3 linked regions of the Tamandua tetradactyla genome follow. The protein of the gene in region 1 interacts with the protein of each later gene in a pairwise test. Links are inferred from orthologs where the notes say so. Each region holds a gene or a part of one and is shown on either strand. Other genes may lie near its edges. The genes, in order: PIH1D2, IGF2BP3 and EIF4A2.

Region 1 (7,658 bases):
TAATACTGGTTTACATGCTGGGTTATTATCAGAAAACTGGGAAACAAATTCCAGTTTCTTTATGGAGCTGGTAAACATTCAATAAATTCCAAATTCCTAGAATTTCTGAAGGAATAGGGAACAAATTTTAGAATCCCTGCCTAGAGGTGATGGCAGCACTTTATTTGAGAATAATTAAAAGTGCTGAATAGTGTGTGAATGCGGTAAAAAGGAGACATGTAAAGTCACATATGTCACATAAGGAAAGTTGAAGTTCAAAACAGGAGAACTTATAACAAGTGAATCCTATGGTGGACAATTCCTGCAATTAAGTGTACAAATATAAAAAAGTTCTTTCATGAACTAGAACGCATTTATGGCATAAGGAGTTAATAACAGAGGAGTTTATGGGAAAAAACCTATTATAATCTATGGACAATAGTTAACAGTAATATTTTAATACTCACTCATCAAGAGTAACAAACGTACTACACCAATCAATAATAGGGGGAAATAAGGGATGTGGGAGATTTGGGTTTTTAATTTTCATTTCTTTTCTTGAGTGATGAAAATGTTCTAAAATTGATCATGGGCCAGGATATGGACAGATGAGTAAAAAAATATGGCTGAAAAATAAATAATAAAAGAGATAAGGCGTAAAAATAAATTGGGTAAATGGAAGTCAATGAGAGGAAAGGGTAAGGGATATGGGATGAATGAGTTGTTTCTTTCTTCTTTTTATTTCTTTTTCTGGAGTGATGCAAATATTTTAAAAAATGATCATGGTGATGAATACACAACTATGTAATATACTGGGAGCCACTGATGGTACACCGTGTATGGACTGTATGTGTGTGAAGATTTCTCAATAAAAATATTTTTTAAAAAACTGTTCATGGGGTTGATTGCACAACTATATAATGACACTATATGAGCCAGTGACTGTGTATTTTGGATGGTTTGTATGGTTTATGAATATATCTCAATAACATGCCAAAAAAAACCCTGCATATACACACTTATCACTTCATCAATTTTGCACTTGTTTTGCAATGCAACTGATAATCCTATATTTCTAAGATGCATAATTGTTTTAATTTATCATCTCAATTGAATCTTAAGCAATCTTATGAAGGAAGCAAAGGAGGTATGATTATTACGTTTTACTGAGAAGGAAAAAAGCTCAAAGATATTAAATGATTTGCCAATGTCAAAAAATAGGTCTTTAAAGTCTACACTAAGTTTCTTTTCATAATATTGTACTTGTCAAAAACAAAAGAAAACAAACAGCATGGTTATAAGAGAATTTCTTGAAAAGCAGACTACATGCAACATAATAAAAATTAAAAAAAAAAAAGCAGACTAAAATTGCCAAAGAACAAGAATACATTTTAATTCTAAGTCCTCTTGCATCATTTTGTAAAAACTGTGCTAGATCCCCTTTGAAATGTAAGCTTACCCTATAAGTAGCGACAGATTAGCACAATTGGAGATGCTGCTTGGGTAACAGTTATATCCTCACACTACTCAAATTATCAGGTAATATAATAGTAATAACATTTATGATCAAACCAAGAGTAATACAATTCACTGAAATCAAACAAGGATCCTTGGTTCTCTTTTCAGTATACAAGCTTTCCGTAGGTGACCTTATCTACTCTCATGACTTCTAACATTTACCTACATCAATAATTTCCTATCCTTTATGTTCAGCTCCAAGTTTTCTCCTTTCTGCCAAATCTGAATTTCCAACTATTTTTGGATCTTCTATAAGCACCTCACAATCAACATGTTCAAAGTCAAACTAACTACCCACTTCATACCTGTCCCTTTTCTTCTGTTCCCTATCTTAATCAATAGCATCATCAATGAGTAAGAAAATAGAGACAAAACATAAATAAATAATAAGGGATTGGGGAGATGGGATGCCTTGGGCGTTCTTTTTTACTTTTATTTTTATTCTTATTTTTACTTTTTTTGGAGTAATGAAAATGTCCAAAAATCCACTGTAATGAAGGTACAGCTGTACGACGAAACGGTGAGCCACTGATTGTACACTTTGGACGATTATATGGCATGTGAATATATAATATATCTCAAAAAATTGCATTAAAAAAATAGTGGGGTTACAAGGGTAGTTTAGAGGTAGAATTTTTGCCTGCCATGTGGGAAACCCAGGTTCATTTCCCGGGCAGTGCACTCCTCACCCCCCCTCAGAAAAATTCAATAAATGGTGCTGTAATAATGGGATATTTGTGTGGAAAAAAAATGAAATGTGACCCTCACCATACAGCAAACAAACAAACAAAAAATAGCATCATTATCCACCTAGATACACAAGCTGGCCATTCTTTTTACTATTATCCAATCAGTCACCAGGTTCTTTGGATTTTATTTCCTAAATTCCTCTTCTTCAACCCACTGTCACAGCTTTCTTTTGAGCCCTCATCATCTCTCACCTGGAACTGCAACTGACTCCTAATTTGTCTCACTACTGTTTCTACCCATCTGATCTATCCCTACCCAGCTGACAAATCACCTTTCAAAAATACAAATATGATTATGTCATGCCCTGCTTAAAACATCTGATGCTTCTTTATTGCCTAGAGGAAAACACCTAAAATTTCCCAAGCATCACACAGAAGTTTCTTCAAAATCTGATTCTTCAAAATCTAACTGACCACTCAGACCTCATCTCTGTAATTTTCTACAGGTTAGACACATTCAATTTCATTCGGGCACATAATAGTTCCCTCTGTCCAGGAGGATCCTTTACCTGGTAAAACTTGTACCCATTTACCAAGACCTAGTTCACTTTTCAACAACTCAAAAACTACCCCTTCTGTGAAATCCTTTCTAATTCCTAAAAGCAGATTTCATTATTCATCACTCCTTCCTCAGTACCCTAAAGCACTTTGCATATGACTCTATTATAGTATATATCAAAATGTACTGTAATTATCTAATTCATCTTTGTACTCCCCAATTGTGCCAAAATACTGCTTGGCACATTGTATGCCTTCAGTAAGTGTTAAGGAATGGCTGGGTTGTCCCTCCCACCTTATTGTGAGCATCTGTGTGCCGGATGACATTCCTCAGGAGGACCTTCCCCAAAGGAACCCGGGACATTCTTCAATCTGAAATGAATCAATAAATAACATTTAATAACGATTTCTATTACCTTATTTTTTATTACAATTAAATAAAGAAGCATGAGGTAAGGTAAAATCACTGAACTATGAGTCAGATGCCCTGAGGAAGAGTTTTCCTTCACAAATAAAAGGGAAAAATGCCTGACAACACTAGTGTGAGGATGAAAGGAGATAGTGTTCCTTAAAGTTCTTTGAAATTGCTCAAGATGACATGAGCACCATTTCATTCATCCTCACAATAACTATGTGTTTTATATGAGGCAAGTTATCTTCATCCCTATTTTACAGATCAACTTTCCTGAAAGCCCTAACTTGTCGGCCAGAGAGTCTCAGGCAAGCAACGTATATATAAAGATCCAAATTAGAAAATTCTTGATTCCCAAAATTAATTTGCAATGAAGCAAATATCTAAATTTAAAAGTGTCAGTGACTACAAGTGTCAACAAATATAAAAACTGACTCTTGGAAACATCAGATGCAGAGATACCCTAAATTTCTTCCTTCAGAGAAATTTTATTTCCTATTTTGTGCAAAAGCTTCCAACTTCTAGAGGACAAAGATATTAACGTGTTAGCTAGCAGGGGCTTTGTGCAACCACCCCATAGCTCACTCACCCCTCGATCCTGAGGAAATCAGGCATCTTGTTAGTGTGAGACGAAGAACCACTCCATTACAAGATCTCCTCCGACCCAGGAAGCCAAGGAGTCAGGGCTCAAAGGCAGCTCTGCAGCTTCACCCGAGTCCTTCGTGAAAACGCAGCCTTCCCACCGGTTATTATGCCCTCACCCGTGGCCCAGGCATGGCTGCCTTTCCCCCAGCCCAGACCGACAGGCAGTTCTCCCGAAGCGAGGCCGGAGCTTGCGCTGGAGCGGAATCTGGACGGCCCGGTCGGCTTTCCCCGCTCAGGCTCCGCTGGGATGGACCCGGGGACTGAGTTTTGCTCCCCAGATAAGGACGGGGACGTTCTGGATAAGTATGACTTTTCGGCTGGGCCCCGGGAAGTATCTAGAGGGCCTGACGGGGAGGTTGAGGTCTCCAAGAGGAAGACAGAGAAAATACCCCCATCTTTATCACCGGTATCCCCGCCACCCAGCGGCCAACGGCCTCGGAGCTCCCGGTAACCTCCCCTCCAAACGCCCTCCCCACACAAATACACACAAACACACCCATACCGTGCGCCGCAGCCTCGCGTGGCGGGGGTGGGGGGAGGAAGCGATCTGGGAGAAAAAGGAGGAGGCTTCCCTTTCAGGCCGGAAGTCGTGCTCCTGAGAAATTCTTCCCACCAATGGTTGGCACAGAGTGTGTCACAGATAGAATTTACAGGATACTCCAGAGGTCGATGGATGCAAGTGGGAGGCTGGCGCTTTTCTGGAAGAGAAGTGGGTCAGACCCGGCAGAAAAGTGAACCCACGACCGGAAGAGTGAGATTCCGGAACTGGAAGTAAGGAGAACTTTCTGACTGGTGCTTCCCGGACCCAATTAAGCGTTGCGCCCAGCCTGGTTACCCTGGTAACAGGCGCCGCGCTGTGTGTCAAGGATCCGAGGGAAGTGGATTCACCGGCCTCTGGAATGATTGCCCAAAGTTAAGTTTCCTATTTAGCCTTATCTCATACAGTATTCGAAGCCTCAGTCGGTGGTATGGGACTCCTCTCCAGTGGACGCGGAGGGAAGGAAATAGGGTAGGAGTGGGGGACGTGATATTCCAAGATCTAGAAAGGGTATTTTTACTTTCATTTAGCGTTTACCAAGTGTAAATCTATATATATATATTAGTTTACTCAATCCTGCAAGTAACTCCTTGAGATAGGCATTTTATTATCGTCTTCATTTTGAGAATCACCTAATATATATTATTAACAAAATATATATATATATTTTATATAATAATATATATATATATTAATATATATATAATATATATTATATATATATTATATATATATATTATATATATAATATATATTATATATATAATATATATATTATATATATAATATATATTATATATATAATATATATATATATAATGTGTGTGTGTGTGTAACTGCTCAAGGTCATCCATCTAGTGATAGAGCTAAGATTAGAAGCTTAACCTTCTGGCTCCAGATTCCATGCTTTTATCTACTAAGCTATACCGAAGTTTCCAATGGACCTCACCCCACACGCACCTCTGCCAACTCCAGGACTGGGGAGCCGGCAATTAAGGATACACAGGTGTTGGAACAGGAAGAGAGCCAGAAACCCAAACTGAAAGTGTCTCCTCTCCCATCTCTAGGCTTGTGAGATTCCAAATAGGGGTAAGGCCTTATCTTTGATGACTTGAGAATTAGGAAGGGGTGCTGAATAGGAAATAAGGAAAAGATAGCAGCGCTAAGCCACAATCTTTGAGACACAGATGTTAAGGTAGCTGATACCTGTCCTCCCTCCCCCCAAAGTAGAAATGACTTACCCACGCAGATTTTTTCCCCCTTAACTCGTGTCTTTCCACAGGTTTAAGAGACCTGTTCACCATCATTAATCATGGACGCATCCTCAAAGGGTCTGTTTACCCAAATTACTCAATTCTGGAACCTTCTAGATGATCTGGCTGAAAGTGACCCTGAGCGCTATGACAAGTTCATTAAATGGCAGCTGAAAGAGGGGAAACAGTTCTGTGCTGCCCCAGAACCACAGCTGTGTCTACAGACGAAGATCCTGGTGTGTAGAGTTGGTGTCATGGCTGGGAAAGTGCTGAACAAAATGATTCTGGAATAACCAGAGGATAGCATACCCTTAGCTATTGCCACATAAACACAAGAAAATTGAAGAGAAACTGCCATTCTAGAAAATGAAAAGTAGTGTGGAAGATTGTGTTGAGAAGTAAGAGTGGTATTCATACTTGTTATATTTTGGAGATGTCAAATGAGGTCTAGAATGAAAAGAGAAAGTAATGTAATAATTTAAAGGAGAATCATGGAATTGGAGCTTTTTCAAATAAAGATAACTGTTTAGTTGGTGCAGTTAAGAAGTGATGTGATAGGGTCAAGTGAAATAATCTACAATTATTAGATTAGATCAATTCCCTCCTCCCTCACCACATCTCCACCCGAGTTCCTTTCTGGGTTCAGTTACTGGATTCTTAGTGAAAAGACAGCAGCTTTTGGGAAATCAAGAAAGCAAGAGTGTAATTTATCAAAAAACTTTAACCATGTGGATTAAAAATAAATAATAGGGGGAACAAATGTTAAATTGAGTAGATTGAAATACTAGTGATCAATGAAAGGGAATGGTAAGGAGTATAGAAAAAAATAGGGGAAACAAAGGCTAAAATATATTGGGTAGATGGAAGTACTAGCACTCAATGAGAGGGAGGAGTAAGAGGTATGTATGAGTTTTTTATTTCTTTTTCTGAATTGATGCAAATGTTCTAAGAAATCATGGTGATGAATATACAACTATGTGATATTGTGAGTTATTGATTATATACCAAAAATGGGAATGTTTGTGTTTGTATGTTATGTTTAAAAAAATTTTTTTTAATTAAAAAAAAACAGTTTTAACATCTTGTGTCTGATACTCATTTTATCTACAGTATGGACAGATGAGCAAAAAATATGGATAAGAAATAAATAATAGGGGAACAAAAGTTAAAATAAATTGAGTAGATTGAAATACTAGCAGTCAATGAGAGGGAGGGGTAAGGGGTATGGCATGCATGACTTTTTTCTTTTTTCTCTTGTTGGAGAGATGCAGATGTTCAAAAAGATGATCATTGCCATGCCAGAGGACCCAGGTTCAATTCCCGGTGTCTGCCCATGTTTAAAAAAAAAAAAGATGATCATGGTGATGAATACATAACTATGTGATGATATTGTGAGCCACTGATTGTAACCACGTCAAGAACATTTGTGTGTTTGTTATTTATAAACAAACAAAGCAATTAACATGTGAAATGACTAACCTGGAGACTAAAATTCTACCTCTTACAATTCTGTGATGAGCTGCCTTTAGGATATTATTTTAAAATAACAAACTACATTTTGAAATATGCAAAATTATTTGCTTTCTAGAAACCAAGAGAAAAAATACTTTTTATCAACCTATGCCAGTGGAAAAGAATTCCAGCTCCCCAATCAAACACTCATCCAGTACCTTTAAGTATCGGCAGGCCAGAAGATATGTCTGAGACATCAGGTAGGCAGAATTATGGGAGAGGAAGCACATTTGAAAAATCTTTTTGGCAAAACAATGGGCCAGATTTTGATAAAAGACACTTCAAGTTAAAATATTTTATTTGGTGATAATGTAGTTTATGACATATTAGTATACCTTTATGCAAATTGAATGCCTTTTTGTTAAGTTTTTCTAGCAATATGACAAGTTTTTAACCCATGTAAAAATGCCAAGAGATGCCCTAATTGGAATATAATGTATATAGAACCATTGTGATTGCCTTTGAAAAAATACAGGAATGGAATTTACTTTCTAGTTTTATCAAGATTATGATTTAATATATTACCTGATAATATCATTAATGAAAACAGGTCA
Region 2 (7,200 bases), on another chromosome or scaffold:
TGTCTTCCTCGACGCCGGTTGCTTAACTTGGTCTCGGCGAGTACGCCCCGGGGAGCGCTGGCCCCGCCCCGGGGCCACTTCTGCGCGCGGGTCTCGCGGTCCCGCCCGGTCCTAGGCAGAGGCGCAGGGTTCAGCGACCAATTCTTGCCCTGTCTCGGTGGGTACCAAGCATCCCTGACCGCCGGGCTGCCCCCGCACACGCGGAAACGAAGCCGGAGGTGCGGGAGGGGTGTTCAACGGACCCCGCCTGGTGCGTCCCCGCGGCCCGCGGGCGGGCGTGGCGGGCAGCAGGACTTCAGGAGTGGACGTGCCGCGGGGAGAGTGAGCGAAACTTCCCCCGGCTCTCACATCTAACCCGGCCACGTGGGTCCGCGCGGAGGGCTAGGACCCAAGGCAGAATCAGAAGCCGGCTGTCCGGCGGCAGCGCTGGGAAAAGGGCGGCCCAGTGGTCAAGGTTCTCCCGGCGAGCAGGCGGCGACAAAGGACCTAGCCCAGTGTCAACCGCAGGGATCACGCCCTCTTTCTCTGGTCAGATCCAGAGGAAAAGGGAAACAATCCCTCTTCTCATCTCCTAGGGCACCATTTTATTTTATTTTAAATAAATGAAAGCACATTCCAGAGAGAGGGCTGAGCCAGGATACCACTTATCATCATGCCTTCTGGTTTGAACAGATCAGAGTCCAGGAGGACTGGTGGAAGAAATAACTAGTTGAAATGCCTCCTGTGAGGCCCTCCATTGTGTGCCCACCCCGCGCGCAGGGCTTCGGCTCCAGGCTGGCCTTAAGGCAGCCGAGAGGAAGGAGGGGTGGGAATACCCTTTCCCCTTCCTTTGCCTGCTCAACCTTCACCGATAGGTAACCTGTGGCTACAGCAACGGTAACCGACCTCTTAATATAGTTTTTCTCCTTTAATATTACCTTGACCTGTAAGAAACATTTTTCTTGCCCCCAGATCAGCAGATAAGGGGGAGTGCAGCTGTTTAAAGAGTCAACAGGCTCCAATTGGAAAATCTCAGTCGCATTTAAGAGTAGATGGCATGGGTAGGAGTCCTTTCTTCGTGAAATTAACATTAATTAGGAAGTACAACTGTTTCAGGAAGTACTTGGAGTAGCCCATAAACTGTTAATTTCTGGTGTGAAACACATTACAAGGCTGTAAATTAAACTGATTTTATATCCATTTTTAATGTACCAGAGATATTTTTGCATTTGAAGTGCCAAAAAACAAACAAAAAAACCCCTAACCCAATATCCTCTTTACTCAGCCACTGAGTTTATACATATCCTTCAAATGCTTGAAATGGAGTGGATTGTATTCACCCCCCTTTTTGGTGTCTGAGCTTATGTAACCAGTGTATGTTTTTAAGGTCCTATACGGAGTATCTAGTTTGTTATAATAATACACAGATTAAGTTCACAAGTGTGCCAGGACCATATTTCTAAGTAGCACACACTTGTTTTAAATTCCAGCTGTTAGACGTGTTTGATAATGATAGACAAGCATGAGCTAGTATTTATGGAAAATAAACGATTTATACAGGGTTCAGAGGTAGATATTTCCTTAGTTCTCAATTTTAATAAGAGCAAATACAGTTAGCAATCCATAAGTTAATTTACTTTGGAAGTAAACTGAACATAAAATTTGTTCTTATGAAAAATTAGTAAAAGAATTGAATTGTTAGTTTATAAAATTTAAGTGGAATTTAGAATAGCAAATATTAATGAAGAACCTACTTCTCCAAATAACTTTTAATCACATGCAACAGGTAAATGAAAAATAAATTTGTAGTTTGGTAGTATTTACACTTGCATAAGAAGTCATAAGGAAGAATACATATATGTTTTTCTTTTTTAGAACCAAGTTTCTCTTTTAAAAAGACATGAAAAGGAAAAATACGAAATCCCTTTAAAAAAGTTAAACCTAACTATAAACTTAGAGATGTTCTTTCAAGAAAGAGTTCATTAATACATTTCTAAACACTTAAGAACACATTTGTCCCCCTCAGCTCATAAAGTAAAAGCATTTCACCAAATTAAACGTGAATGAAAATATTGTGAAAGTGAGTTTACGTTTAAAAAGTTGGGTTTGCTTGGCAGGGAAAAAAAAAACCTGTTAAAAGAGTTGCACTTAAAATGGATGATCTGACACCTTCCGGTTACTTAATAACACAAAATCATAAAATAAATTCCTTTAAAAAGACAAAATGTAAAAGCTTTACATCATGCAATACTTTCCCCCATCCCTTTAAAAAATAATATGCCATTCATCTCTTACCTTTGGAAAATACATACGTTTAAATGTTATGTACAGTTTTTGTCAAAGAAACGAATTACATCAAGGAGTAGTAAGATGTTTCTAGTGTAAATCACAATATTTCCTGTTACACAATACATTTTTCTACCAATAAGAGTACCAAGCGATTAAATATTCTTGTTTTTATTTCCATGCTATATAGAATTTCATTCGCTTTTTAAAAATTAACATTTTAATTTTTCCATGGGATACCTGTAAAAATATACCACAAGGATCTGGCACAAATTAAACCTTTGAGTGGAGTACCCAGTTATGAAGCGACACTTCGAGATTTCCACAAGAACCTCGTTCTGCCTTCGTTTCCGTAGTCTTCATCTCTATTCCACAATTCGTTGGCTCCTAAAGGCTCCACCGGGCCCAGACCCTCCCCCCACAAACCCACCATTGTACTCGTTACACACAGGGAAAATTGTGAATGACTCTCACGGCCAAATGTGGGCAGAACAGCAGCAGAAAGAGACGCGAACAATTTCTCAAGCGCCATTAACACCTAGGGGTAACGCGTTGCTGTCTTCCCATTTTAAGAGTTCCAAGTTCTCTAACTAAAATGATTTAAATATCATTAGAGCGTACTCCAACCCCGCCCCCCGCCCCCCGCCCCCCCCCCCCCACTCCCCCACGACCTACTGGAAGGGATGGTTTCCCTTTAAGTACCGACTTTTCCCACTTTCGACTTCTCTCCTCCGGCCTCCAAAGCCCCGGCCACCCCATCACCACGCAAAGAACCTCCGCCCCTCTGCCCTCCCCTCCCCCACCAGCGGTCGCCCCCGCCCCCCGGCCTCATTTATCCCGGAGCCTTCTTCAAACCAATAGCAGACGCGGAGCCGCGAGCGCCCGCCGGCAGAGGCGGAGGAGGGGTCGCCCAGACGCCCGCCCTGGACGCCGCGGGCTCCCATCCCCCACCGCCCCGCCGCCCGCGCCCCCACTTCCCCGGAGCCCCGTCCCGGCAAGGCTGGAGACAGTGGGGCGTTCCTGCCAGTCTCCCCCTTCCCCACCCACCCCACCCCCACCCCCACCAGCCCTGGAAAGGCGCTGGCTGCTTGGCCGAGGTTTCACTCACACCGTCATCAAGGCCACAAGGCGAGTTCGGGATTGTGACTCTTTGCTTTTGTTAATTTCCTATTTTAGAAAATCGAATGATCAAAACTCTGCAAGTTAGAGCCGAGGAATCGCCTAGTTAGCACTCCCACCGCTTTCCTTCTTAAAAAAAAAATATCCGGCCGTCCCCCTCCCCCTAGGAACCGCCCCGATCAGATAACCCTTTCTAAACTCGGGCAATGACAACCCGCTCCCCACCGCGCCCCGGCTGCAGCTCCTTTAGCATTTTTTCCCTCTTCCTCCTCCCCCTTCTCAGGGTCTTTTCGCTTAATCTCGTTTCCCCTCCCCCCTCTCTTTTTTTTTCCCCCGAAACCCACTCTAATTGAGGCGCTGGGATTCCTCACGTGAGACGTTGATTTGTAGTTTGAACACGTGGCTCATTCAAAAAGCCGGACACTCGGAGCGGATTTTTTCCGCCTCCAGCTCCTTCCTCCCCCCCTCCTCTCCCCTCCCTCCTGCCAGTCACCCTTCTGGGTTTTTTATGGGGAGGCGGCGCTTACCCTCACGTAGTGTGATATTTTCACAGTCCGCTGGCCGAAGCCAAAAGGGTTGGGGAGGAAGAGACAAAAAGTAGTTTCCCCCCACCCCTCCTCCCTTCTCTCGCTAATCCCGCCTCCTCTTTAGAGTTAGGAAAGACTCGTCGATACGTATGGGTTGGTAGCAAGGCTTTTTCTTTTTTCTTTTTTTTTTTTTAATACCTAGTAAAGGAGAAACAAGAACCTTCGGATCTGATTTTTCGCTCCTCGTTCTTGGCCTTGGTTTTTACAGTGTTTGTGTATTTTAAAGGCGAGAATACGAGAAGAACAAAACCCGCCGGATCCATCCATCGCCGTGGGTGGTTTTAATTTTTCGTTTTTCTCTTCATTTTTTTAAACAATCAATCTTCACAATGAACAAACTGTATATCGGAAGCCTCAGCGAGAACACCGTCCCCTCGGACCTAGAAACTATCTTCAAGGACGCCAAGATTCCGGTGTCGGGACCCTTCCTGGTGAAGACAGGCTACGCGTTCGTGGACTGCCCTGACGAGAGCTGGGCCCTCAAGGCCATCGAGACGCTTTCAGGTGGGCCCTGACCGCGGCCCTGGCTTGGCCTTGCAGGGGCGCCTGCCCCCAGTTCTGCTCTGCGGGCCCGGGCCCGCCGGGGTCGGTGCTCGGAGCCAGGCCCGCGGCTGCTGCCGGGGCGTCTACGCCCGGGCCCAGGCCCAGCGAGGGCTGGGAGCGCACGGTCGAGGGGGTGAGGCCCGAGCGCCCACATGCGTGGGGCTTTCTTAAGATTGGGCTCCAACTCCGCTCCCTGCTGCGGCTTGCTCTCCTCGCTACCTGGCATTTGCCCGGTGCAGGGCAACACGCTGTCAAGAAAGCCCCGGCCGGGGCTAGGAGCGGTGCGGGGGCTGGTTGTGGAGTTCGTGAGCGGGGTGGGGGCGCCCGGCCGCCAGCACTGCACCCCCTTCAGCGCTCCCAGCGCGCCCCGCCCGGCCCAGACGCGTTCTCCAGACTCGGGCGTGCCGGGCCTTGGGGGCCGAGTGCGAACGCCTGCTTCTTCCTTCCTCCGGTCGTTTTTTATGGCGCTGGATTCGCTGTCCGCACCCCTTGCTCGCCTCAGAGCCTGCCCGTGGGAGAAAGGAAAGGGGCCTCGACCCTGCTGCGGAGCGAGGCCGCAGCGCTGGAGCTCTGCACAAGCTACCCCGCGCTTCCTCTCGACCCTGCGGGAGGAGGGGTGCGACCTGGTTTCCATTTTCAACCTCACCCTGTCCGACGAAGTAGAGGGGCAGGTGGGCGGGAGCGGCGTGCTGTGGCCAGGGGGGGAACACCCCCACTGCAGCGGCGCGGGGCTGCGGCCTGCGGGAGGTGGCGGCGCGCCGGTCACGCCAGCCGAGGGCGGGAGACCGTGCGTGGCCCGGCGGCGGGCTGGGGCGGGACACTGAATGAGGAAGGCTGCGTAGGGGCCCCCCTGGGAGCCCGGTGCCTTTCGCTTTCCCCTTGATCGGCTTGGTCTGGATGCAGCAAGCACGCTGTCGTAGGCGCGATGTTCGTTCTAGACTGAGATGCAAGTTCGCTCTTCTATCCTGCGGCCCCCGAACCTTTCCCGCCACTCCTCGTCCTCCCGAACCCCACAGCCAAGTGTTCCCGGCGGGCCTGAGAAGGAACTTGGGAGAAGGGCCCGACCCCCCACCCCCCAAAGAAAGCCTATGGAATTGACACCCCCCCCCCCCCCCCCCCCGGTCCCGAGCTTGTCATACAGGAGCGTCTTGGGAGATGGGAAGAGGAGCAGCGTCCATCTTGTGGGTGTTGTGGGGTTGGGTGACCTCCTTGAGTGGGCGGGGGAGGCCTGGGCGGTGGGGTAAAAAATGTCTAAGTGTTGGCACGTCCGGTTAATGCCCCCTCCCCACTCATCTGTAAATTAAACAAAACAACACAACTAGGGGGTGGTCAGCTTCCCACACGCGCTGTTTCCAGCTTCCCAGCGGCTCTCGGGCTTGCGGTCATTTGGGCTCTAGGGCCACTCGTCGCGGTGCAGGCGGTGCTAGTCCCTCGGGCTCGGCGAGCAACCGTCTCCCACCGCTTGTGTATCTGCAGGTAAAGTGGAACTGCATGGGAAACTCATAGAAGTTGAACACTCGGTCCCCAAAAGACAAAGGTGAGTTTTTTGTTTTTTTGTTTTTTTAAATTCTGGTCTCATTCGTTATTGGAAGGAAAGACTCGCCACACAGCTGAAAACAACTTTTTATATTCATCGGGCTGCTGTATGGTTTGGTGTTTTTCGTCTTTTTTTCCCTTGCGGTTGTGTGTGTGTGTGTGTGTGTCTCTGTGTGTGTCTAAGTGTAATGCTGCGAGGAAATAGAGGGGTTGTCTCTATCCCCTGCAACTGAACTATTGTTATTGAGTATAGAAATCTTTCAAGGAAGCTCTCACAGCTAAGTGTTATCCAGAGCAGGCCAGATTGCTACCACGGGAAATGAAAGACTCCAGGGGGAGTTTTTTGGGAACCTGCAGAATTTAGGAATCAGTGAATGACTCTGATGTCTATAGCATAGGCATAGCAGCTGCAGAAACGCGCGGGTGTTGGCGGAGGTGGCCGGAGTTGGCAGCGTTGAGTCTGGGAGGCCGTCTACACGTCTGCGGGAAGAGGAATTTGCTTTTTCTCTGTTAGCTCGCCAGCCGGGTTTGGAACACGTGAGTGAAAGCCTGAGCTTCTCCAGCTCAGAAGCGATTTCACGCCAGAGTTGTACAGGTTTCTGCAAACACTGCCCTTGTTTCCTGATTTCCTTTTTTATTGATAATTTTGCTTGCAAATAACCACGAAGAGATCGTGAAGATCAAACGTTTGCTCTACCTAAAAGCCGGGGAATTCTTTTCGAGAACGTGTAGTGTGCCAATTTACAGTGTTTGGAGACTTTGTTTTAGCCTTTGGAGTATTTGGGAGAAATGGCTCCTTTCTCAAGAGCAGACCAGATCCCAGCTGTGTAACTAACTGGAAAGGTGCAGTATTCTCCCAGTGGCCCTGGGGTTGGCCTGTGGTTTCCTGGGTTTTCCAAGGTGGTGTTACGGTTTCTGTCTTTCAGCCTCCTGCTTCTCATTCCCAACCGGAGCCAAGCAGTTACCTCCAAGTTAAAGGAGAGCTGCAGAAAGTACCTGGTTAGTTATTGATAGCCAGGGGTTTGTGTGCATTGGAGGGCAGGAGGGGTTGCTATGCTTTTCCCTGGTGCTCTGAAGAGATAGATGGTTACTGAAGATGTTATCTATATACCTGTGTGTTTCCAGAGAGATTGAACTCTTACAGGAAAAG
Region 3 (7,834 bases), on another chromosome or scaffold:
ATCTCAGGTTGCTAGGGAGACTTTCGCCCCTGTATATCATGTCCCATGTAGTGGGGAGGGTAATAATTTCAATTTCAGAGTTGGGCTTAGAAAGAAAGAGGTCACATCTGAGCAATAGAAGAGATCCTCTGGAAGTAATTCTTATTCATAACTATAGGTAGGCTTAGAGAAGTGGACCTCTTTTTAACGGCTAAGTATATGCATGGCGTACAATTTATTTAACCAATATCTTTTTTATAGACATTTACTTGTTTCTAGTATTTTGTTGTTAAAATACTGAGAAAGGGAATATGCTTGTTGATTGCAGAAGTCGAGGATATAGTAAAGGTAGGGTAGAGGAAAGGATTCTTGTGATAGTTCACGTATAGGATAAAATACCTAACTGGACGTGTTGGGTCAAAGGACATGTGCATTTTAATTCTTCATATTGCCAGAATATCCTAAAAAATATTACACTAGTTTAAACGTCCACCAAAAGTACTACAGTATCTGTTTGCCCACTAAGTATTGTCAAACTTTCTAATCTTTGTTAACCTAATTGATAAATTTTCTAAGTTATTTCTTCTCTTTTTATTTTACTTTCTCAACTGTATCCAAAGTGAGAATTGTGCCCTTTTAATCTTAATGCTTGCAAGGGCCCAGCACTACCCTATACACCTTAATAATTATTTCTTGCTTGTTGTTGATGGTTTTAATAGCTCAGATAAAGGATCAGCATTGATAAGTTTCAGTGGCTGAGATATTTCAAACACAGCCAAGTGGCCATTCTGGAGGTTATTCTTATGCAGAATATCGATATCCCTTTTCAGTTTTGGTTGTACTGCACTAGCTAGAGGGAAATACCTGAAACTGTTGAACTGTCATCCAATATAATTAATTCTTGCTTGTTGTTGATGGTTTTAGCAGCTCAAATATAGAATTAGAGTTGATATGTTTCAGTGGCTGAGAGTTTGGACGTTACGCTTATGCAAAAAAAAAATCCCTTTTCAGTTTTGGGTGTACTGTGGTAGCTACAGGGAAATACCTGAAACTGTTGAACTGCCATATCGTAGCCTTGATTCATGAATAACTTTAGAGCTTTCAAGGTGTGACTAAAACCTTGTGTAAACCTTGTGACTGACACTCCCTTTATTGAATGTATGGACTGATGAGTAAGAAAAAAGAAATGAATAATAGGAGGGTGTGGGGGAATGGGATGTTTTGGGTGTTCTTTTTTACTTTTACTCTTATTTTTATTTTTTTTGGAGAATGAACATGTTCAAAAATTGACTGTGATGATGAATGTACAGCATTATGATGATATTGTGAACTTCTGATTGTACACAGGGCGCACAGGTGATTCAGTGGTAGAATGATCACCTTCCATGCAGGAGACCTGAGTTCGATTCCTGGGCCATGCACCTAAAAAAAAAAAATCATATGGTGAAATGTATGTGTGTGAAGATTTGTCAATAAAAATATTTAAAAAAAAAATCATACCGGAGTAAAGGGAAATCTGACATTGTGTACTTCCTGATGGAATGAACTGAAAGGGAAACTTTACCAACTACAATTACTATTCTTTCCAAACATGTGTTTAACCTGAATCTAACAATGAAGCGAAAAAAAACAACAAATTCAGATTACGGGACATTTTAAAACAAAAACAAGCTGGTCTGGAATCTTCAAAAACATCAGTGTCATAAAAGAAAAATAGTAGAGGGTAACTACTGCTCTAGATTAAAGGAGACTGGGCAATGAAATGCAATACGTGATGCTTGATGGGATCCTAGATTTCTTTTTAAAGCCATAAAGTATATTATTGGGACATTTCAGAAATTTTGAATATAGATAGCTTTGTTGGGAATATCATCATATCAATAGTTAATTTATTGGGTATAATAGCATTTTCTTGGTTTTATGAAACGATATCCGTTTTTAAGATAAAAGCCGAAGTGTCACCATGAATGTGACTCAAAAGGGTCAGCAAAAAGTCATAAATACGAGAGAAAGAGTAAACATAGTAAACCTATCAATTGGTAGATGCAGCAAGAATTTGGCATTTGTTACATTATTCTTGGAACTTTTCTGTAGGTTTAAAAACTTTCCAAATAAAAAGCTGGCCCTACCTCAGATCAGATCAAGTGAATCTGGGTGGGGGAGGGTGGGTGGTAGGGCCCAGTCCACAAGTATCTGCATTTTGAACAGATCTTTTCATTGATTTTTATGCATTCCACAATTTTCAATTTAATTTGAAGTACAATATTGTCACTTTATTTTAGTCTCTGTAAAGGTAGAGGCAGAAATACCTCCATCTCTTAGTTACACAGTAGTTTAATGACCTTGAGCAAAGGGACCCAAATCCAGTCCTTACAGAGTTCGACAGGCCTTTCCATGGTCCTACCCCCAATTTTCACCATTCCCTTCAACCATTTTGTCTTTATTTTCATGCAAATGGTTTTTAAAACTCCTGTGAAGGACATGGTAGTACGTGCCACCCTCCACATTGCTTCTGTGGACAGTTTCTACACATAAACAGATTTAGCCACTGATTTCCTCCAGCAACAGATAATAAAAAGAGGTGAATTGCACTCCTGTCACTGTTTAGCTTTAGGCAATACTTTTTAATCAGTTAAATTATAGATGTAGGGACTTACTGGCTAAATAACATTAATAATTAATAAAGAGTGAAAGGTCCAAAACATACACCTTAACAAAATTCTGCTTATCAATAGATTGGCAAGGTACTGCTTTTTAAGTGTGTAGTTATCACTGAAAATTGACTGATGGACTTACAATAATATGGGCCCCAAGATGATGCACAAATATCCCTTTAAGATAAGACACCGTTTATAGAAAGATGTCACTACCAATATAAAATATACTCTTTTAAGGCTGTAATGGGTTTCCATTAAGTAGGGATGAATTTGTAATAATTTCTTGGTTCCTCTGGTAAACACCAGCTTACAACTGATAGATGGTTCCAAGACATACAACGCCTAGATGGGTTTAGAATTGTCTGCTGAGACTACTGAAGATAAAAAAATAAACTAGATGGCTCATATAAGGAAATAGTCTTTAATTTTTAGCATCACAACTGTAAGTGGTCTCACACATTCCATGTTGGTCCAAAAGCATTTGAGAAGGCTATCTAATTTTAGATCCTAGGCAAGCAGGAAAGTTTACCTTTTCAAACAAGGATGAAATGCAAGCTGGTAAGCACAGGGTTTATTGGAAATATAGTGTAGGGTTGCAGGCATTTGTGGGTCTGGCTTTACACTCTATAATGAAATTTTTTTTACTTCAAAACCTCTCCAGCACTTACAAACTCTAGAATTTAGCTCTTGATTGTTTCCTCTTAAGAGATGGGTAGCATTTAGCCTTAACACTTAACCTAAAGAAAACACTCAGCAATTAGGTGTTAATTGTTTATGACTTCACCCTAGGATGGATTGGTTTCATCTTAAAACTAAATGATTTGCCACTGTCCTGATTTAACACTTTCACCAGTTTCTTAAATCCCAGGCTATTTTTAGATTTTGGATGAGACCATTTAAAACCTCTAGGGACCAGGGGAGCAGGGCGTACGGGGCTGAGGGCCGACGATGAGCAGTCATTAGACTGGGGGCCAGGTCAACTTTGTCATCTCCCTGCCTTTTAATTTTTGTGACAGTTCCTGGCACCATAATATCAAAAAAATAAATGGTGTCCTGTAAAACAAAACACACACGTGGTATTCAGAGCCAAATATTTTCTAAAATATATAAAAGTGGTTGTCAGTTTTTCTAGTAATCAGATTTTAGGCTGGCCTTTTGAATTAATGAGAATGTTTTCCTGAGTATTCGGGATGCTAGCTTGCAGTGCTGGCAGAAGGACTATACTTTAAAGTTACACGACAAAACGTAGTTTTTATTTTTACCAACGGGGATAGATTGGGCAACAGCTGAAAACCTTTGGAGCTTAAAAAATCATGCAATTTCTTTAAGTAGCAAAGACGGTCGCTCTCGATTTCAACAGCTTATCATTCATCCTGCATAAGTATTCAAAAACTGAAAGACTTTTAAAAAGATGACCAATATAGACCGAAATGAAAACATCTAGTTCCAAATCGGCGTGGAGCTGAAGGTGCTAGAAGCACCCATTTAAAACCTGCATTATAAACCACTCTCCCTAAGCTTTTAATCATTTACAAAAGTTTACACTGATTTCTCCCCGGCATTCCGTATACCTGCTACGTTACAACTATCAGCATTATTTTAAAAAGAGAACGAGAGAAGGCCAGAAGCAACACGGGGAAAGCAGAGTTGGCTATTCCAGAGACACTTGCAAATGACATACGACCTTCTTCTCGTTGGTAAACCTGACTTTTTGGGACGCGCTGGGATGCCGACATTTTCCCCAGCAAGAGTTTCACACTCTGATGACCTGACTGGATGCTAAACCCTTGGGCTAAAGGACGAGCGACTTTCTATCACCAAATTAAACGGCGATGCACACAGGTAAAAGGACCGTGGGCTCGCTGCATAACGCGCGTGTCGCGGTCGCCGCTACACCTGAGGATGCGCAGCAAACGTGCTCGCCCGGCCGCACTCGCCCACAGGGAAGCCGCTTCCGCCTCTCGGCCCCTCCCCGATCCCTCGGGCCCGCCTCTGCGGCAAGGACGTGGAAACCCCGTAGGAGGAGGGCGGGCACGGAGAACGGGCTCTGACTATCCCTTGCTGCAATATTCTTCCGCCGCTTAGCAAAGAGTCCCGGCCCTTCCCAAGGGTTCTGGGAATTCCCTCAACCCTGGAATATCGAAGAATGACAAAATATGGATTCCCCCCCAGTACTTTCTCAAGGTTTTACATGAGGTAGGAGCTTCAGGATCACAGTTTTGTGGCCGATCGAAGAGCGACGAGAAAATTCCTCCGCAGGAAACGGGTTCCGGCCGCGAGCCTATAAAAAACGGGTAGCGCGGTTCTGCTGTCTTTTCAGTCGGGCGCTGAGTGGCTTTTCGGATCATGTCTGGTGGCTCTGCGGATTACAACAGGTATGGCCCTCTTTTGGTGGCAGTAGTTTGTGGTGAAGGTCGTGTTGGGACGAGGGGAGGTTGTAGTAGATGGCTTCCCCGTAAGGAACGCCAAATTCATAGGTGTATCTTTAGGGGTACAGTATCCTGTGCCCTTCGGGAAGCTTCCATAATGGTTAATGTTCCGGATTATAGGGAGACAAGACGGGGGCAGGAGAATAGATCGGTTAAAAAGCGCCTTTTTTTTCCTTTCAAGGACGTTATGAAATGACAGTTTTCACCTCCCCTTGCGCTGAGCACAGTAAACATTTAGTTAATTTAAAGCTGTGGCGCAGTCCGGTTTGTGTTCTGTGTAACGGGGACCGGAAGTTTTATGTGCGGCCAGCGGCGCGAATTGAGTTCCTGGGTTTTGAATGGGGGAAGGGTGGCGGCAGCTTCCACTCGGCCCTAGCAGAAGGCGGATGGGGCTGCACCGAGGACGAGGGTCCGGGCGAACCGTTAGCATAGACTTCCTCAGGCCTCTTTCACCGTGTCAATCACAGTGGCTTGCGCAGTGTAAGGGGCGGAGCGCAACGTTGAAGCTCTCGCGAGAGGCCCCACCGCCAAACGGGAGCTCTCTTCTGGGCTGGAGTGAGAGGCCAGTGTCTGGGCTTCGCGTGCGGGCCTCGGACGTACTTCACCATTCAGGAAAGGAACATGGTGTGTTTGACCTGCACCTCCAGTTGGATAAATATTAGAAAATTACATACGTAGGAGAGGGTACTGTGCGATGACAGGCGAGGTTAAGTGTTACCTGTAAAAGGGCTATTCCCTTAAGGTGCAGTTGAGTTACGGTGGCTTAAGGGATTTTCTCTAACCGCGGTGTTCTTGTCAGCAGAGAACATGGCGGCCCAGAGGGAATGGACCCCGATGGTGTCATCGAGGTAAGAAACGAGTGTGGTTTTTGAAACTCTGGAAAGGTGAGTTTGTTCATCCCATTTACTCCTGCCCTTTTTTTTTTTTTTTTAAACTCACAGAGCAACTGGAATGAGATTGTTGATAACTTTGATGATATGAATTTAAAAGAATCTCTTCTTCGGGGTATCTATGCTTATGGTTTTGAGAAGCCTTCAGCTATTCAGCAGAGAGCTATTATTCCCTGTATTAAAGGTAAAGGAAAACTCGGGTGTTCATAAAGTAGTGGAATATTGTTCAGCGTGCACCTGGACCATAAAAGGGAAAATAATCTCTTGGGGACTAGCACGTATGTGTATTCCTTAAAGTGAAATGATGGCAATCATCTTTCGGGACTGACCTGAAATGAAGAGAATACTCATTGCTGATCACTTATTTGTTTGGGCATAGTTCATTTTCCAAATGGAATACATGGTATGAACTAGAAGTGACAATTTGATGTGGGATCGGTAAATATGTATCCTACTTTTTTTAGGGTATGATGTGATTGCTCAAGCTCAGTCAGGTACTGGCAAGACAGCCACATTTGCTATTTCCATCCTGCAACAGTTGGAGATTGAGTTCAAGGAGACCCAAGCACTAGTATTGGCCCCCACCAGAGAACTGGCTCAACAGGTATTGATAGTGTAGTTCAAAAAAACTGCTTGCGTGTTGCATAGGTTTCAGGTTTCACAACTGTGAAGACTTTAAAACAGTATAAATTGCTCCTATCAGGGCACTCTTGTTGTCCATGCATGCAGAGTTTTTGTTGAAAGTTAAATAGGAACTGAGTTTACAGGTACAGTTTGCAGGGTTGTATTCCAACAGATGATAAGCCAAAGCATTCTATTCCGAGCACACTAGATTTGTGTCCATTTTTAAGTTTGAATGCAGTTGTGCAACATGAAAACTGCAGTGACATGTTATTTGACTGTCTCAGTAGTTTGTGATGCATCTGTTGCATGCTATTGTTTTCAAAGCTCACTGCTATATTGGCTTTGAAGTAAACTTTCCTAATAAAGCAGGTTTTATTAAGGTCCAGACACAGTATCCCCATGGGAAGAGATTTTATAAAGTATCAATAATATGATATTAGATGTAATTGCAGAGCTTGTTTGACTGTTTACATCACCCCCTACTCGTGAGGACTAATGTAGAAAATTTTCAGTTCTTTAATTATCTAATTGGTACTTTCGGGAAATAGGGATTCCAGCTTTGACCAAGTACAAGAATGAGGCAGTTTACAGAAATTTAATCTTAAAACACTTGTTCAGTCTGCACTTTAAGCTTGGAGATAGTTATGTGCTATGCATGCAAAACTACAGACCAGATAGTTGAAATGTTTTGGAAGTTAGTAGAGCCTATGAATTTAGTGGATAATAATTGAGGCTTTTGATTTTTAGATTCAAAAAGTAATTCTGGCTCTTGGAGACTATATGGGAGCAACTTGTCACGCCTGTATTGGTGGAACCAATGTTCGAAATGAAATGCAAAAACTGCAGGCAGAAGCACCACACATTGTTGTTGGTACTCCAGGGAGAGTGTTTGATATGTTAAACAGAAGATACCTTTGTAAGTATTGTCCTTAATGCAATATTGCTAGGTCGGGTGGGTAAAAGTCCATTGTAACCATGAAAATCTAGGGATGATAGTATGACCTTTATATTTTTTTAACAGCTCCAAAATGGATCAAAATGTTTGTTTTGGATGAAGCAGATGAAATGTTGAGCCGGGGGTTTAAGGATCAAATCTATGAGATTTTCCAAAAATTAAATACAAGTATTCAGGTGAGACTTTATTTCAATTCCTGTTCTATAGCTGGAGGTTTGCTTGGTTACAATGTAACTGGAGTGTTACTGTGGTTTGCCCCAAGCAGTGGATGCATAACTGTTTGTAGGGTCAAAACTTGAC

The links.
Region 2: the proteins of PIH1D2 (region 1) and IGF2BP3 interact in a two-hybrid assay, tested with the Homo sapiens proteins (2 studies listed by BioGRID and IntAct). The two-hybrid records come from large-scale screens. The link is inferred for Tamandua tetradactyla from reciprocal best matches to the Homo sapiens genes PIH1D2 and IGF2BP3.
Region 3: the proteins of PIH1D2 (region 1) and EIF4A2 interact in binary tests that used the Homo sapiens proteins (3 or more experiments, as listed by UniProt). The two-hybrid records come from large-scale screens. The link is inferred for Tamandua tetradactyla from reciprocal best matches to the Homo sapiens genes PIH1D2 and EIF4A2.

What each region holds. Positions count from the first base shown.
Region 1 is NC_135334.1:29,177,427-29,185,084, forward strand, and holds the start of PIH1D2 (PIH1 domain-containing protein 2), read left to right. Parts: upstream 1-4,603; 5' UTR 4,604-4,712; exon of another isoform or gene 4,713-4,810; intron 4,811-5,619; 5' UTR 5,620-5,651; coding exon 5,652-5,828; intron 5,829-7,180; coding exon 7,181-7,304; intron 7,305-7,658. Other genes in the region: uncharacterized protein NKAPD1, read right to left, coding at 3,040-3,108.
Region 2 is NC_135327.1:100,249,499-100,256,698, forward strand, and holds the start of IGF2BP3 (insulin-like growth factor 2 mRNA-binding protein 3), read left to right. Parts: upstream 1-3,956; 5' UTR 3,957-4,300; coding exon 4,301-4,475; intron 4,476-5,990; coding exon 5,991-6,051; intron 6,052-7,200. UniProt on the Homo sapiens protein: RNA-binding factor that may recruit target transcripts to cytoplasmic protein-RNA complexes (mRNPs). This transcript 'caging' into mRNPs allows mRNA transport and transient storage.
Region 3 is NC_135336.1:5,774,010-5,781,843, forward strand, and holds the start of EIF4A2 (eukaryotic initiation factor 4A-II), read left to right. Parts: upstream 1-4,682; 5' UTR 4,683-4,982; coding exon 4,983-5,011; intron 5,012-5,864; coding exon 5,865-5,913; intron 5,914-6,006; coding exon 6,007-6,139; intron 6,140-6,249; exon of another isoform or gene 6,250-6,318; intron 6,319-6,419; coding exon 6,420-6,559; intron 6,560-7,326; coding exon 7,327-7,495; intron 7,496-7,600; coding exon 7,601-7,710; intron 7,711-7,834. UniProt on the Homo sapiens protein: ATP-dependent RNA helicase which is a subunit of the eIF4F complex involved in cap recognition and is required for mRNA binding to ribosome.